Linked DNA regions of Caenorhabditis elegans. The protein of the gene in region 1 interacts with the protein of each later gene in a pairwise test. Each region holds a gene or a part of one and is shown on either strand. Other genes may lie near its edges.

Evidence for each region.
Region 2: the proteins of F10G8.8 (region 1) and magi-1 interact in a two-hybrid assay, tested with the Caenorhabditis elegans proteins (2 studies listed by BioGRID).

What each region holds. Positions count from the first base shown.
Region 1 is NC_003279.8:10,058,964-10,064,112, reverse strand, and holds the start of F10G8.8 (PH domain-containing protein), read left to right. Parts: upstream 1-2,086; 5' UTR 2,087-2,124; coding exon 2,125-2,232; intron 2,233-5,149.
Region 2 is NC_003282.8:11,712,798-11,718,063, forward strand, and holds the start of magi-1 (Guanylate kinase), read left to right. Parts: upstream 1-2,241; 5' UTR 2,242-2,292; coding exon 2,293-2,311; intron 2,312-2,358; coding exon 2,359-2,423; intron 2,424-2,599; coding exon 2,600-2,666; intron 2,667-3,186; coding exon 3,187-3,424; intron 3,425-3,469; coding exon 3,470-3,666; intron 3,667-3,727; exon of another isoform or gene 3,728-3,904; intron 3,905-4,062; coding exon 4,063-4,182; intron 4,183-4,421; exon of another isoform or gene 4,422-4,566; intron 4,567-5,266.

The DNA.
Region 1 (5,149 bases):
CTGGACCGGGGCAGCTAAATTTTTTGGAGAGATCATTATTTTCACTCTTTTATCGAAAAATTACTATGGCATGCCAAAGTCCGGGGTTCAGTTTTTCGACTTCCCTTGTAAAGAAGTTTAGGAAGCTGAATTCTTGATCTATATTCTAGTGGAATGCAAAACCAAATGTAAAACTAAAAAACAAATCAATCAGTTAAATAACCTAATTATCCCTGACCACCACATCATGAACTCCCATTTGTTCGCCCTAAAAAAGTCAATCGCATCCAATTTGATATCTTTGTTCCTTTTATTCTACCAAATCAGTCATTCTTTCTGAATTACCGATTCCTGATCGTGACTCATCAATTTTTATTCCATTTTCTTGCATTGTTTTTGATTTCTCAGACATTGGAGTTTTCATGTTACGAAACATAAAAACAGCCTCACGAGGTTTCTTTATCACCAATGAATGTGAGTACTTGTGTGGAAGCTGTTTTGGTTGAGAGTCATCTTCCCAGGGCAAGTTACTTGATTGTTTGGGGTTTGATTATGCTATTTTCATTAAAAAAAAATTAGATTCTCAGTTCTGACAATGTTTGGGAAATTTGACATTTATTATGAAGCCTCGTCAAAAAAAGTTTCAAAACCCAAATGGTTCAATCACATGACACTTTCTTATCACCAACTGGTCCTTGCACTTCTTCTACCAACTTCCCTCTATTCCCACTTTTCCGTTTTCCGTGTTCATGTCCCGGGGTCCGAGAGAGAAAGAAAGAACGCCTGTTTGATATCTGTGTCTCTCACTCTCTTCTTATCACTACTATCTTTAATTGTTTCGGGGTCCCCCCACTACTACCCTCCTCCTCTTCTTTCTTGTGTTCCTCATAAAGAAACGAACGAAAAATACGTTTTTTCTCTCTTCCTACTGTTTTTCAATTTTTTGATTATTTCCATGTTTCTGTAGCCTTTTCTTCTTTCCGGTTGGCCAAGAAACAATTATTAGCTTTTTTGTTAATGAAAAGAAATATCGATAAAACTGATAAGAAAACAATTGGTTTTGTTATCAGTTGTTTCTCTCAAACCAATCACTTACCCTTTTTCTCATTTTTCGAGAACCGTTTTTTTTCTGTCTTGGTAATTTTTATCAGATCCAATTCATTGAAACGAGAAGTAATAAAATTTAAAACTCAAAAAATTCATTTAGTTTCAAAAAATATAAAATGCTTTCGCTACAACTACAGTAACCTGCGAGGAACTTTTTAAAAGTTATTTTTATCAAAAACATGTTGTTAAAAATAATAAATTAAATTCAAATGATCGACTATGACTATGAAACAATTTAAAAATGTTGTTTTCTTTCAGAAATTTCATTTAAATTCTAAACTTTTTTTAGTAACTGAATTAATTTCAAATTGCTGGGCAAAATGATTACTGTAAAGCAACACAGTTTTGTTGGATTTTTTTTTATATAATTAAACTTTTTGGAATGATGATACATTTTGCAGAATTTTTTAATTGGTCCTAAATCGGTTTCACTTCGAAACATTTATTTTCCGCGGAATATTGTTTCAAAATCAGGATTTTTATTGTAGAAATTGCAAAAAAAAATTTTTCAATGAAAAAGACAAATTTTAGAAGTTTTAATTTACACAATTTCACACTCTCATCATCCTACTTCCCCAAAGTACATTACCAAAAATTTCAAGAAAAAAATGATACTAATATTTTCTGAATACTCTTTCACCTGGTCATTTAAGTTCCATATTTTCCCAGTTTCTCAATAAAATAGTAAAAGTGGCTCGTAAATCTTTCGTCAGTGAGAGTGAAACGGCTCGACTGGACACGGGGACACGGGACACCAATTGAACACTAAATTGCGGTCAGAAAGGGAGAAGAAATCTATAAACTGAGGAAAAGCATATCTCATAATGTGAACTACTCTATTTCAAAAAGTCTTAGCTGACCAATGACTCTTTTAAAATATTTCTATTGAAAATTCAAGTTTGTTTTCTCAACTTTTCAATATTTTCCCACATGTTTCTTTATTTTCTTCCTTTCCGTTTTAACACTCAAACAAAGTCAATAACAAAAATGTAAATTTCAGACCACATCCATGACAGGAAACTAGAATAAATATATAAAATGAACGACTGTAAGCGGTTTGAAGCAAATATTTTCAATAATGGAAAATGCAAGATTTGCTATAAATCCAAACAGAATCATTCATCAGAATCAATTGAAAATGCAAAGGTAATTTTTGTTTGATTTTTAGTTGATTTTTATTTGAAAAAATAACGTTTATGACTTTATAAATCAGTATGATTTGGCCTAAAATTCAGCTTCAATCAGGTGTTTAAATGAGTTTTTAAACATGAATTTCCAATATTTTTCAGTAAATTTTGTTCGAAAATAGCAACTATTTTTTAAAAGATTTATTCGAAAATACTTTTAATTCTAATTCAAAAATTTCCAATTTTTGGTAGTTCGAAACTTCCATGAAAATGCCAACACTTTTTTAACTTCAAAATTAAATTAATATAAATTCGTTAGTTTTTTAAAAATAATATTTTGATTCTAAATTTCACTTTAAAATATTAGAATATCAAACAGAGTACGGTATTCTACTAAACTACCAAAAATAATTGGCATCTTCCCAAACGCTGTGCCCCGAATTTCTGCGAATCTTAAAACTAATAATTAATTGTAAGAAAAGCTTTTTTTTCTGTTTTCCCGTCTCCATTTGCATTTTAATGTTGTAGAAAGACGAAGATTGAAAAAAGCACTACAGTTTTTTTACAAAATTCAATATTTTGGTGTTTACATAAGGTATAGTTTATTGATATGAAATGAAATCAGTAGTATTTGAAAAAGAGTATACTGAAAAAGACATGTTCTTCTTTCTGTGTCTCTCAATTTCTAATACTATTTATCATTTACTTTTTTATTGATAACAAGTCCATTTTGCAATCGGAAATGATATAAAAATGCATAGTTGATTATTTTTTGGAATGCTTTTCTCTTCATTTTAAGGTTTTTTGAAGTATCTGATTTGAAAAAGAGCATTATTTATTTAATTCTAAACTTTTGAGTTTAATTATTTATTTGATCAGTTCTCAACTTTTTTGATTGCATTTTCCATTTCTAAGGGTACACAATTTTCAGTTTGACACTTCAAAAGTTCCAACAAAATATTAGAATAAATTATAATTGAACACTCCAAAATTTTTTAGCTTTTTAAAATTTTTTTTTAAATTTTTAGCAAATTGAAAGTTTTAGAAATTTCCAAAAATTGAAAAAAAAAACTTTAAGGTTCGCACGTTTGAACTTGAATAATATTTTAATCCGAACAATGGAAACAAAATTAAAATATTTGCAAAAAAACCTTTTCCGGTTGACTTTCGAAATGCTGATAGGCGGAAGCTGTAAATAAACTAATTTTGGGCTTTTTTAGCACCACAGAGGTGATTTGAATCATCTTCCCCATTGCCGCTTCTCCACCTTTGAAGCTTTGATTGTTTTGGAATAAAATTTTCAGCCAATACCTCTAAGCTGGTAATAGATACCTGAACATATAGTCTTAGTTTCACCAATCGGTTCCACTTTCATTCTTTTTTGTGTCTCATTTCGTTTCGCATCAGTTATTTTTCTGCAATCACACTTCGGCCCATTTCTTTTTCTTATCCAATCCCAATACATTTTGTTTTTTCATTGGAAGACGTTCGTCTCTCTTCTGAGCAATTATCCTTTCTATCTCTAAACTCTCTTACTATTTCAATAGTATTCCATTTCATAAAAGTGCGCACTTTTGGGTCGTCCAGAGACATTCAACCAGAAAGCATTGATTCTTCCCTTCTTTTTCCTTCCTCTTGTTTATTTATTCAGCAGTGACACTATCCTTCACTATTCCTCTTCCATTTCATCCATCCTTGCATTTTTCTTATTTTTTTGGTAGTTTTTCTCTACAGTGACCCTATTAATTGGCTCAAGTTTTATTTCTAATACCGACACACACGATTTTTGCTTCAAACAATTATGGGACAAAAAGATGAATTCCACTTGACATTTTGTGAATGCCAAAAAATATTCCGAGATATTTTTTGTGTCATTTAGTAAAAGTCACTATTTTTAGCTGGTCTAAGTGAGCACTGAGTTTTGATTTTTTTCAAATATTATAACATCATCAATGTTTTTTAACTGAACCTGAGGCTCTGATTTTTTAGGGAATAAAAAATTGAGTGTATAAGTTTTGGATTCAAAATGACGCATTTAATAAATAAGTTCGTAAGTTAATTTTAGAATTTCTGGAAATAAACTTCTACGTAATTGAAAGATATGTATGCCTACCACAGAATTGATAGTTCCCTGTTAATTTTCTATTTTCTATAAACATTTATCTAAAAGTACCATAAAAATCGCAATCTTATAAACTTGAGCAATTTCGTTTTTTCCTGAAAAACATAAACACGAAATTCTAGACAGATTGCCTAATGCACCATTGGCCATCCTCCAATTTATAAATTTTAATCCAATCTTCTATCATCTTCCACTTATTATTATTATTATGCCCACCACTTCCAATCATGCTTCTTCTCTGACCATCATCTCCTTCTTCTTATCATTTGATTGCGCATCATTTTATCTGTTTATACCCGACTTGGCTTGTATCCAAGTTTTGAACACCCACTCACACATTAAAGTATCTTCATTCGTCTCGATATATCGTGTTCGTGTTCACTTTCTACATTCATTCAATGACCTGCTTTCTACCTTCCATTCATCCTTGTTTTCAACATCTTACCACTCACTCTTTTTCTCATTTTCTCTTATTTTCTCATGCTCTATCGTTCATCTAGATGGATGTAGGTAATGACTGGGAGAAAGAGAGTAGAATCCATCCTCCAATTAGTTCCTTTTCTGCTTCTAGAATTGTTTTTTGTTGTTTCTAGGTCTAACTTGCACCCATGACATTTGGATTTTCAAAACTTGGATTTTGAAAAAAAACTTTTACTTAAAGGCGCACGGATTTTTTCAGATGGATAGAAGAAAGTATTTTCAATAATATCATTATACATAGTTTTTGTAAAGGAAGAGCTTTTTTGAAGACGAAACAAATGTTTTCAATTCTTCAATTCTTTTAAAAATCACATTTTGTTGCTTTATGCTTTCA
Region 2 (5,266 bases), on another chromosome or scaffold:
AAATAAAAAAAATCTGTCAGATTTTCAAAATTCACAATGTTAAAATTTTAGCTAATTACATTTTGTAGTTGCTGGAACTTTTCAAAAATTGGATCAAAACGAATACCGTATTCTTACCAGTAGATTTACACCACAATTGTTCAACTTTGGCTGCTCATATTTCGGTTGGCTTTTGTTCTATCAAAAATATTAAAATTAATGCAATTTATTTCTTTCACTACAATCTTAGTTGTTGAATATTTTTTTGATATCTGCACAATGAACCGAGATCTAAGTCGTCAAAGTAATAATGGTATTTAAAAATGTGAGGAAACTAGGGAGTTAAGAGCATCCAAGGGATCAACGTTTTTACATTGGACCAAAGTATCTGCAAAAGCGCGCGGCAAATCATGTAGGCACAAAGGTAGGCATTTGTGTGTTTTCATGAATATTGAGAATTCAGTAAATAATGTGATCTACCTACATAAAGGTTCCTATAGGAGTTCTCTGTAGAGAACTTCAACTATATTTTGGAAGCATGATTTTCCCTGTTTCGCCTTTGTCTCTTCTCAGCATCAATCAAATTTTTGCATTTCTCAGGATTAATGTGTGTCTTTTTCGTTGTGTTCTCGTAACTACGAATCTCCAGCTGATTCCCTCGAGTACAAATTGCAAACAGCCGTCCCCTTCTTCTACTTCTTGTCCTTCATTTTTGTTTCTAAAGTCGCTGTCATCACTGTGATTCTGTGGTGACTGCTGCAGCACAACATGCCAGATGCGTGGCAGATGTTGAAAACTTTCGGAAGTTTGTGTAGAAATCGGAGAAGAAGAAGAAGAACTTGACGAATTATATGAGCCTGACCAGCGCTGTCGTCTCGGTGCGTTTACCATTAGTATGTTACAAAATTGACCTGTCTCCCTTTCTTTTTCTATCCGCAGAGGATTTAACGCTTTATGAGAAAACCGTTCACCATATTATCGGCGAGAAGCAAAAGTGCGTGCCGTAACGGCAAAGTGTATGTTTGTTCTCCAAATATCACATTCAGCTTTTTTGCGCCTCGCAAGAAAATGCTCTAGGCTTGCCGACGGTCAACTCGAACCTTCTGGACCAAATTGAAAATTTTCCGACTGTCCTGAAACTATAGCTCCTAATAGTTGTATTTTATTTTTAAATTCAAAAATTTTCCAACATTAAGAAAGAAGGGAATCGAGTTTCCCAGGTGCAATGACTCACGGCTTTTCGAACGAAAGTGGGATTTTTGACGAATTTCAAATTTTCGAAAGTGGCAAGTATTTTCGCTAAAGTAATGTTATTCTTTTCAAAATATTGTCTAAATTTTCTAATTTATTACTAGAAAGTTTTAAAGTGCTACAGTAATCATGACTCTAAAATTATTAAGTTAACATGTATATTTCAATTTTATCTAATTCATTATAAATATGTATTGAAAACTTACTTATATTATTTAGTTGAATTTTTATTAGAAACACCAGTTTTTACTAAAAAATAGAGTTTAAATATTTTTCATGTCTCTTTTAGTAACAAAATTTATTGAGTGATACCCGTAGAAAACAACAGGTGTGACCGCACTAAAATATATACAACACACTACATTTCCCGCAATTCATGTAGGCCAAATGGTGGTGGGTACACTGCACGCGTGTTAGAGTTGCCCCTCGGTTTAGTCGATCGATAAACAGTATTGCATCCCTGCTAGTCTTCCACATACCTCTTTAAGACACTACATGGAACAATTCAATTTTTTTTCGCTTTTTTCATTTTTTTCTTTTATCAATAATATCTTCGAACTTCCAAAACATTACACGATTTGTTTTGTTTCTGTTCAAATTGAGTTCAAAATAGGGCGCGCGAAATTTTTTTAGTCGAAGACTTCATTTTTCGGTTTTTCTTGCTCGTTTTGCGCTATACTTTTCAATACATTTTGCGCAAATATCTTGTTGTCACCTGACAGTGCTAAACTTTCTGAAAAATCTGCGCGCACTTCTTCTTATTTATTCTTCTTCCAATTTCCAATCTCTGACTCATTATTAATTTGTCATTTCGACAGCGCCTTATTCATATTCACACTGCACTCTTTCTCATCTTTTGCTTGTCCCTTGCTCTCCTTCGGGTTCTCTTGAGGTCGCCGACACACAAACGGTTGTTTCGTAATAAATATTTATTTGTTTTCGCAAAATTTATGCGGTCCCCTTTCTCATGGGCCATTCCGAACTTTGAAGATAGTAATTCATTTTCGTTGCAGAGAAGACATTCCAACTCGACATTCTCTTAATGAACCCACGACTAAAAAGATGACCGACAAAACAGCTGGTGAGATTGAGAGTTTAGTCCATAAACATCAAGATTATTAATTTCAGAACTTTGCCTGAAAATTGGAGATGAAGAAAAGGATGATTTCACATTGGAAATTGAAAAGCTTCAGGTTTGTTTTGATTTGTTTCATGTCTAACGGCTCCACCCCAAAATAAAACTCATTTCAAAACCACTTCCCATTGTTTATTCGCAAGAAAAAAGGATTAGTGAAGTAGTGGAAGGCTCTTCCCAACCACTTGTTCGTCGTCCTTCTGAATTCCTCCCCTCACTATCCCAAGTTTTCAGGCCACTCTTCAAGAAATGCTCGATTGCACGAGCAGCCCAAGCACTTCACTAGATTCCACTGACAAACGTGAGTTATTCAATCATTTATGACCTTCAAGAAAGATATTGAGTTTAACGAAGAAGTTTAAAGTTTGAATATTCCATGCATTTCAAAGTTCAGTTTACAGTGAAATATAAAACAGAGCTTTTAGTTATTGTGTGGTTGAAAAGTTTTTAATTCTTTAGTGAGTTTTTTTTTCAAACATAGATAGATATAATACAATATGCTCCCTATTAGTATTACACCTACATTTCTATACTCTGAGATTTCATATTTCGATTATTTCTAAAGATAAAAATGTAACCTAAATTTTACTAGTTGAATACTTTCACTGTCAAAAGAAACACAGTAGGAGCACACGTTAATACCTAATTTTTTAATATTCATCAAGACTGTCTTAAAATTTTTTTTTGTTTGGGTTCCGAATAAAAATTTAACAACTAAAGCAAAAAAAATCATTGTAAGTCAAGAAAGATCATTTTTGAAAAAAAAACCAAAAATCAGGAAATAGCCAAAAAAAGACTGAAAATAATTTTTAATATTCTAGTGCCATCCGGACTTGCTGCTCGTCGACTGATCCGTATTGCCAGTGAACATCATCATATTTCCACGACATCTTCTTGCCATTCGGACTCTGGAAACTCTTCATCTCGAGACGTCATCACCCCGTTTACAGTACATGGCGGAGCCTCAATTGGACGACTCATTCTGATTGATATTGTGCGACGTGATGATTTAATTGGAATTGTTCATCCTAACGATATTCTTTTAACAATTGAGAACATGTAGGTTTTCTAGAACATTTCTTTTTTTATTATTTAAATTTTCAGAAAAGTATCAGGAATGGTAAGATCTGAAGTGAATAGGATATTGGAAGATATGATGAGAGAACATGATCAAATTGCGATTGAAATTCTACCAGCTGGAGCAATTACCGATGATATTTGTGAACTACTGGCCGATAGAAAATCATCTGGTGAACTTCAGACTATCATTCGAGAAAATTTATATCAGAAGACAGTTCCTTGTGAGTTACAAAAAAAGTTGATCTGAAACTAACTAGATTGGATTTAATACTTATAAGTTTCATTCCTCAAAACCTCATTGTTTTCAATGGCACTAGCAGCTGCCCACAGGGAGTATCATTGAGATGAAATAGTGTGTGATCTAGAGAAACCTAGACATCCGCCCCATTAAATTAGGTGATTTAGGATCTAGGGGATCATCACAAGGTGGGGGAGGGTCCGAAGCTGGCCACCAGTGGAAGTGTTAAAATGTTCGGTTCGCCTTTACCAAAACATTCACTAAAACCTGCATTTCTTTCCAAACGAACATCTCTTCCTGTTATTGATCTAAAAGATTATTATGGAGGGACAAGTATTGAAGTTAAAACAAATTTCAATTTCAAAGTGACCATTTTCAGACACAACTCGACCTCCACGAGAAGGTGAAGTTGATGGAGAACACTATCGATTTGTGTCTGTAGATGATTTTAATAAGCTTCTCGACAGTGGTGACTTGCTCGAAAATGGTACATATCAAGGTAACCTCTTTTCTCCATGTTCAACTATTTTACGCTTATTATCATAAAAGAAAACCGCTGCTTCACGGTTTTACTTGCTCGCGAATCTCCGTAAAATCCAGCCACCTGGTAGCCTTTTTCGGCACCTGTCTTAAGAATTTCTTATTTCTTATTTCCACCGCTTCAATAGCTCCATCTGTCTTTGTCTGCGATCTCTTATATCCCCTATTACCTTCTCATCACACTCACTTACCTGTTTTCTACCTCACAGTCCTCGTCTACCCTCTTACGCAATCTTGGTATGTCCTCAAATGGAGGACTGTACCCTCTACGTCTCCTGCTTCATAACACTATTTCGTGACAAAACACAGTCCCATTCCGCTCATTTTGCATCTTTCTCCTTCCGTTGTCCCTCTCTCTTTCTCTCTTACCTGACACAATGGTTCATTCACCTCTCTCACCAAAATTGGAGTGGATTACATTCTTTGCATGTGTAAAAAGTGCACCCTAAAATTTGAAAATTCTTTCTCAACGGATCTGCCTTCCCAGATCATTTTTCATCCATATGTCCGCCTTGAGAAAATGCATATATCATGCTCACTTGTCATCGGAGCCCACCAATATCCATGTGACAAGTAGCAGTAAACTTGACTATTGTTTTTGGCTCCTCTTCATTCCATTTCGGAAAGAGAAGACTTGGTGATGCCCCCACAGATTCGATTCAATTTCGTTAATTCAATCTCATAGTGGCTTCTTCCATTCTTTTCTGTTTCGTTTCTATTCTTCTTCTTACTTTTTCGCATCCTTCTTATTCTCGCCCTACACTTTCTCTGCTTAATCCCTGTTTGAACTAAATTCTCGGAGAAGACAAGGAGTTAGCAGCAAAAGTTGAATCCTGAAGTTTTTTTTTCGTTTTTTTTCTTTACTGGTGTCGTTGCCTGCCTATTTGCGTCCTTGTCAAAACAATGCCATTTTTCGGTCAAGTACCCTGAACCAGTACTAGTTTTGACAGTAAGTCCGAAAATGGAAGTTGAAAGGGCATAATGATGATGAGGATTGTTATTGAAATAGAGATGCAAAACTGGCGTTTTGACATTCAGGTCTA